Schizosaccharomyces pombe: one gene and its partner. Changing the gene in region 2 together with the main gene of any one other region gives a genetic interaction. Each region holds a gene or a part of one and is shown on either strand. Other genes may lie near its edges. The genes, in order: cao2 and SPOM_SPBC1604.16C.

Evidence for each region.
Region 1: mutations in SPOM_SPBC1604.16C (region 2) and cao2 together harm fitness more than expected from each alone (negative genetic interaction), as found in Schizosaccharomyces pombe (one large-scale study listed by BioGRID).

Annotation. Positions count from the first base shown.
Region 1 is NC_003423.3:4,426,803-4,430,738, forward strand, and holds the start of cao2 (Cu(2+) amine oxidase-like protein Cao2), read right to left. Parts: upstream 1,937-3,936; 5' UTR 1,818-1,936; coding exon 1-1,817. Other genes in the region: SPOM_SPBC8E4.05C (fumarate lyase), read left to right, coding at 3,388-3,936. UniProt on the Schizosaccharomyces pombe protein: Copper amine oxidase-like protein that does not show any copper amine oxidase activity. May be the appropriate amine substrate for cao2 has not been identified yet.
Region 2 is NC_003423.3:3,899,548-3,903,192, reverse strand, and holds SPOM_SPBC1604.16C (G-patch type RNA-binding protein), read right to left. Parts: upstream 1,615-3,645; 5' UTR 1,562-1,614; coding exon 962-1,561; 3' UTR 783-961; downstream 1-782. Other genes in the region: gpi16 (pig-T family GPI synthesis protein), read left to right, coding at 1-773; protein Tti2, read right to left, coding at 1,651-1,974, 2,023-3,027, 3,072-3,146; cmp7 (ESCRT III complex subunit), read right to left, coding at 3,644-3,645.

The DNA of each region.
Region 1 (3,936 bases), 530 kb from region 2:
GGAAAATGGATCATACCAAAAGTGTGCCAAACGACGATATCGGTATTCTTAATTTGTGCATTTGGATCATCGGATATCCATTTAGATAACCCCTTAGGCGTATCATCAGAGGCTTGGGGAGCATAATCACCAGTTGGGAAGATTTGGTCGTCCATGTAAGGAGTTACGTAAATATTATTTTCAGCAAAACCTGAACAATCAGAATTCGTAGTACCGGGTTGCGAGAGTACAGGCGATGTGTCTCGAGAAATAAGCTTATATGATACAGGTTTCCCAGAATACGGATGTAACTTATTCAAATTACAGATATCCCAGGTCCTACCGGTAGATGAATCATAGTTGCTGATTGCTTCAGTTACTGTCTCTGGAATAATATATTTTGATACTAGAGTACCATTCTTATCCCTTAATGCATCCACTGTAGCAACTGAATTCCTTAAACCATCAAGCATTGGGTTGATTCGAAGGCAAAATAAGTGCTCATGATTTTCAGCGCTGATCTTTGGATATACTTGTGTTCCATGACCTTTTAAGTCTTCATCTTCATTTATGGCGTTCGTATTCAAAATTCCAGTTAGTCTGATTTCACATTCGATAACTCCATCCATGCGGAAAATCCAGTAAACAAGGTATTCATAGTTGGCAGCAGTAAATACTTGTGAGACTACCAACTTAATACTTCTAGCTGAAATATTTGCATTGCGATCCCTGAGATCAGAATACTTAAAAAGCACACCGTCATCCTCTTCATGGATGCTAATTGCATTTTTTATAGTTGTTATTTCACCACGATAATTAACAAAATCAGCATCCATGTAATGAATAACACCTTCACAACCGCAAGTAAAAGACAAAGGATTTGTTCGGTATCCTACACCATATTCCCCTAAATCATATGCATGCTTTCGGTGATGCGAATGTCCTTTTGCCCCAAAAGGAACCGCCATTTCAGTAAGCGAAATTCGATAAAAAAGAGGGCGAAGGTGCCCATCCTCATTAAAAACTACGTCTGACAAAACAATTCCCTCTCTATAGTTGAACCCAATGTGAAAACAAAAGTTCTGCCATTCGATATAGCGTCCTTTAATACGAAAATTTACACCCTCTGGCTGAGTAATACGGAGTGGTTTAAGCATTTTCATAGCTTCCATCTCCTGCTCAAGCTTTTTCAAATTGTTATCCGAATTTACATCTTGAGGAATAGGACGTCTTACTTTGGGAATATCAATAGCTATCACCTTTTTCTGATCAACATCAATTATAGGACAAAAATCCAGCGGAATGGAACGAAGATGACCACTGTCGCCGGGTTTATAATACATTAAAGCTTGCTGAAGCCTCCGACCAGAACCGTAGCGCTCGTCATAACCAATGGTCCAAGGGTCGCAATAGACGTTAGACAATCCACTTTCAGGAACGCCGCATATTTTGCATTGCTCGATTACATTTGCATCATTTCTTACAATTTCATCAGTAATGGCTAGTAGATCCGCTGTAATTATTGGGCAAGTATCAACGGAATGCTCCCATTTCTCTATTTTTCCAGTAGTAAGGTTGACAATTCCTTCAAATACTCCAGGAACTTCTTTTTCTAGTACAATCACGTAAGCCCTTCTGTCGGGTATACCTTCATGAGCAGAAGAATATCTCCAATGAACGTACTCTTCCTTATGTGGTTCACTTAGCGTAACTACATCAAAAGAAATTTGTTTTTCAGGATAGCTTTTCCGAACGAGGTTTACTACGTATCTTAATTCATTAAAGCTCAATGGGTCCAATGGATCAAAGTACTCTGCAGCTTTACTTTCTTCTGCCATTTTGTTCAATTGAACTCAAATAAAATAAAATTGTCTTCAAATTCTGATAATTCGTTAAATAATTAGTCTTCTTGATAGTTTCACCGAATACTGCCTTGCTATAATATGAAATGTTGTGCCAACATTTAGCGGATACCCTCACTACTTTTATAAAGTACGAAAAATTAGCGTTCCGCCCTCGTGTAAATACCGTACCCGCAACCGATTAGTATGACGAACTGCTGTAAATCCTTACCCGTCTGGTGGGATCATTAATCATACGGGAGTGAAGCTACGATCGTTGGACCCGTAATCTTCGCAATCGCTAATACCTGAAATTGCCCCGTCAATATTCTTTTACAATCTAAATAAATCGATACTGACGCAATGAGCGCACTTACAACCCTAATATATATGCAGTAGCTTGCAATTGAAATGTAGCGTGTATTACAATACTCTTGTCTATGCAATATACAATCAACGTCTTATAATAAACAAATGGAATCCTTATCATTTTCAATAAATCATACTTCCATTGTTCAATAATAAATACAAATTTCTTGCATTTAATGGTTAAAAGTTAATAGCAATGAGGGCTTCCGCAAGTTGAAATGGAAATGAAGGCATTAATTCTTGGGATAACTGAATTGAGAAGCCTTACTTAATGAGTTAAAAAATATAATAACAATAAGTAACAAAAATTCCTTCCATTCATCGGCATCATTATATGCATCATTTTAGCATAAAAAAGTTAATGATTGTGTGTTGCATCCCATGTTGGTCGAGTTTACAGCAATAATTAACAAGACATAATTACTAGTAGCTCGATTCCAGAAACATTCAGATAAAACTGTTATTCTACTAGAATACTAGATAAAAAGGTAGTTGAATTTTCAAGGCTTATTGTTTTGTCAACCTTTAGTCTAGGAAAGCTCTTACAAGAAAGATGTTGACTATTCTCAGTTCAATGTAATGCGCAAATAGTTACATGGACTTGAATTGGTTTGTTTAGTTAATACGTTGATGGTTTATAGTTGAACAAACAATACGAGGGATCGAACTTTTTCGCATATGTCATACTCATAGCATAAACATATATATGTCCTTAACAATCAGAAATTAACAGCTAACACCAAAAAAGTGATTTTCAACAATATTCTTTCAAATGTTAAACTCTTTTTTTATTATTCGCTACCAGTTGAAAGGAACTCAAGATCTGCATTTTTGTTGGAAAAAATGCTTAATTTCAACCTCAGGAAGTATTTGGTGAATAGGTGAAAATAAAGAAGAATCTTTATTTCATACAATTGCAAAAAGTTCCTAAATTTATTCCTATCTTCAATACGAGCGCTACAGTCACTAAACCTACTATATATCCTTAATAGTTATGCCTCAATATTCTAAGGTAGATATTGTTTAAAGTACTTTATTAAGGCACTGCGTGATTTGTACAGTTAATTAATTTTTGAACAATGATTACACTTAGAGTTTAGGTATGACGAAAGGAGCTTACGCCGTCTCAAGTATATAAACAAAATGCCTTCTTGTGCCGGCACATTTCTAGTGCTTGATAGCCAAAGAATTAAATAAAATGCCAGTTAGTGTATCAGATTCTTTTGTATTTCGTAATATCTTTGGAGATGCTGAAATTCGAAAAATTTGGTCAGATGAAAATCGCACTCAAGAATACTTAAACTGGGAAGCTGCGTTAGCAAGGGCAGAAGCATCATTAGGCATAATTCCGAAATATGCTGGTGAGGAAATCCAAAGGGTTTGTAAAGTTGAGAACATAGATTTCTCGAAGCTAGAGGAAGAGACCATTAATATTGGGTATCCAGTTCTTGGAGTAGTTCATCAACTCGCCAATCTATGTAGCGGTGATTCAGGAAAATACTGCCATTGGGGTGCAACTACTCAAGATGTGACGGACAGTGCTACTGTACGACAAATGATCGATAGCTTCAAAATCATAAAGGGCTATCTCGAAAAAGCAATTGAACTTGCAACCGTTCTTGTAATCAAGCATCGTGAAACAACTATGGCTGGTCGTAGCAACCTACAACAGGCGGTTCCAATTACGTTTGGATTTAAAATGGCAAGATTTGTCGCTACATTACGCAGACATCACCAAAGACTTTGT
Region 2 (3,645 bases):
TTTTTCATAAAGTGCCTAAGGAAAGATGTCTACTTTCCTCAACTTTTTCTGACGTTTTTGTTTCAAATGGCGATAAAATTGACACTTTTAGTTTAGACGAAGCTGCAAATATTCAAATCCCTATTCAATCTACTTCCGATAATCATACAGTCACTGTTGATCGTTCCCTTTCGAACGATGGCAACCATTGGGGAAGTTTGTCTTCTACAATTTACAATCCCTCATCTTCTCCTCGAACTATTGTTTATTTTGAAAAATTTCCTTGGTTCGTGCGCGTGTACTTACATACTTTAACTATCACTTTGAATGGAACACGTATTAATACTAAAGATTTTATTGAAAAATTGTATTATCAACCGTTAAGAGATCGCAAGGCAGGCACGATGATGGAAATCCAGTTTTCAATACCTCCACATACAAATCTGATTGTTCATTTTAATGTAGAAAAAACACCCTTACGCCTAGACGAATATCCTCCCGATGCAAATCGTGGTTACAATCTTCCTCCAGCAATAATCAGCGTGTTTGATGAAAACAATACCAAGCTTTGTAGCCTACGAACTGCTGCGCTTCTAATGTTCATTCCTACACCAGATTTTAGTATGCCGTATAACGTAATCATATTTACTTCAACAGTTATAGCGCTTACATTTGGGGGTATATTTAATTTGCTTACTCGGCGGTTTGTACCTCAACAATCAAAATTTCAAAACAGGCAGCCCTCCATGTTACAAAGACTAAAAGAAAAAATATTTCATAAGAAAAGAGGGTGATGCTATCCTTAATTAATGTGTTTCCACAACAAAACCTCATGAAAAAAAAACATCCAATTGTGTTTTAACTGAACACTATAGATTTATAACCAATCGACTAAACACTATAAAATATGTACATTCAATGGGACAAATTTAGCACACTTAAAATTGTTAATGACGTTTGGACATATGCAAGAAGGATAAACTCAATTAGACGAAAAATGTTTAATTAAAGCTTCTTTAAGGCGTACATCCTTTGAGTGTTGGATTTGGCACTGACGCTTGCCTTTGCGACATTTATTTACTGCAACTTTCTCCAAATCAATCTTGGTACCGAGTCCAATCGTATCATTTTTTACACGAAATGCTCTAACCGGGGCACGACGACCCTGATTTTCCAAACCCAATCCAGCAGTATCTCCTTGGGGAGACCAACCATACTGAGAAAGAACTCGATAACCAAGGCTTTTTGGTTTTAATAAATGGGGTTGAAATTTGTTTGAAATATGTTGTGAAGAAAGAAGGTGAGTCATTGATTTAAAATGATTAATTTTTTTGCTATTTGGAATGTATATTTGACACACTTCACAAGCAAAACCAGCTTCGTCCCTCTTGCTGTTCATAGTATGCGAATTATCCCTATCATTTTCAAATAACGAATGATAAAATGCTTGTGCCGATCCTTTTTCAATAAAAGTGGCTTCGTCCAACGATTGTTCACTAGTGGCTTTTACGAATGAAACCCTACGACCATTTTTATAAAAACCATAAGAATTTGACAGCTCCATATTTCCTTTATTCTCCATTTTCCATCGTTTTTCGAATAACCATTGTTACCAATTTATCTAGGTTGAAGGTTGGTTAGTAATGAGGAGAGTCTTTCCTTATATGTACCTCAAAGTGGGATTTGCAGGGGTTCAAGCAGTGGCAATATTACATTGTAATCACCGAGTTGCTCAACAGTTATGTTCAATTTTATCAAAGTGAAGAGGTTTTGAAGCGCTTGTACAATTGCATTGTGATGCTCTTGTAAGTTACATCGCATATAATTTCTACTGCAAACCACTAGTGCCATTAATAACTCAACATGGTGTGCAGATATTCGATAACTGTAAATTTCCAATAGTTTTGTTAATATTTCTAAAAAAAAGGAGAGTGTCGATGGTATCTGTATGATTTGTGGGTTTTGTATTATACGACACAGTTCATCCAGAGTCAACTAAGTGCGATTAGTAAACTTTCAAATGTAACGAATTTAAATTATTACCGTTAGGTATGGTAAATAACTAACATTCATTTTGTCAGTTAAAACCATAATTTGAGAAAATGCGGCTTGAAGAATCAGGGGATAATCGAATGCAAACTGAAACACAGAATTAATACCGTTCAGCATAATAGAATTTAAATTTTCATTTTCTTCAGGATAAAGAGAAACTAGGGTTGCGAAGGAGGCATTTATAAGGGTAACACTCGTTTGAATTGTAAATCTTGGCGGTATGAAAGTATAGAATACGAGCAAATCGTCCTTCAAAATTTTTAGAATTCCAGTATATAAAAGAAATTCTCTTTCCGTAATTTTTAACAATCTGTTGACTAGCTCAATTCCTTGTAGTTTAATGTTTGGAGATAAATCATTCAATATTCGGAGTACAGATGGAATGATTCTGTGCCAACATACTTCAATGCTAGAAGAACTTTGCTGATCAATTATCCAAAAAATAAGGTGAGAAATGAGATAATTTTTTGTTTTCCACTTTGGCTCAAGAAGTGCTTTACTTTGATCACTGTGAAATTTGTCTGGTGGTAATTCAAATGCAACCGGTCTACCTTGATCTGTCAACCGTTCTTCTCTATGAAAAAGATTTATTTGATACTTTTCTAGAAGATATAATAAGAATTTTTGTCTAGGAACAGCGCTGAGGATTGAAGTTGAGAGGAATTCTGACAAATTGCGTACAAGTCCATTCTCGATTCCACTTAATGATATTAAAATAGCTAGGATTTCCCAATTGATCTCTTTAACAACATTTTCTATAAACTGTTCTTGAAAAATGCTTAATATCCGGTGAGCGCGCACAACATACGCTTCTTTAATCACTACATCAATCGATTCAGGGTCTGGATGAGTTAATAATTTAATATAAAAAATTGTCGCCGTACCCAGTAAAAACCAACTTTCAGTAGGGCTAATGAACTCTAATAATGGCCTCAAATCTTGTTCATGAACCAACGAGTCCACCTCTACCACCAATTTGTCCAAAAAGTCTATTTGCTATATTTGGTTAAAATTTGAAAATAGTGAATTAAAAACGGTACTTTTTCAAGAGCTTCTTTTTCATTTTTTGATTGTAGAGTATGCAATCGCCTAGCTAGCTCTTTGTAATATTGCATAGATATTGCCAATTTAAACTTCTATTAGATAATTATTAAGTCTAATGTTTTATTATTTGTTTGATTTGTAAACAAAGAATATTAACAGAATTGTAATGTCACTTAGTTATTAGAGAACTTAAATTCTATGAAAAAAGTATTTCATGTTAAGCTATGGTCATACACTAATAATATAAACTTATAGAGTATGTGATATACTGTAAGTTTCTAAGTCGTTGCCAAGAAATCAATTTAATAAATTAACAATTTACTAGTTTTTAAAGGTATAAAAAGCAAAATTTTTAGTAACTAACATCAATTCATTACACAGGTACTTTACCTTATCGCTTTAGCTATATAAGTTCTATTGAGTATATAAGCATTATTGTTTTTTATAGTTATTACCAAGAAAAATGTTTTTATAGTATTCATTTATTCTTTAGTATGTGCATAAATTATTAGTAAACCAAACCATTTCCCGTGAATTTAAGTGATCGTTAAAAAAGGACGTATATAAATT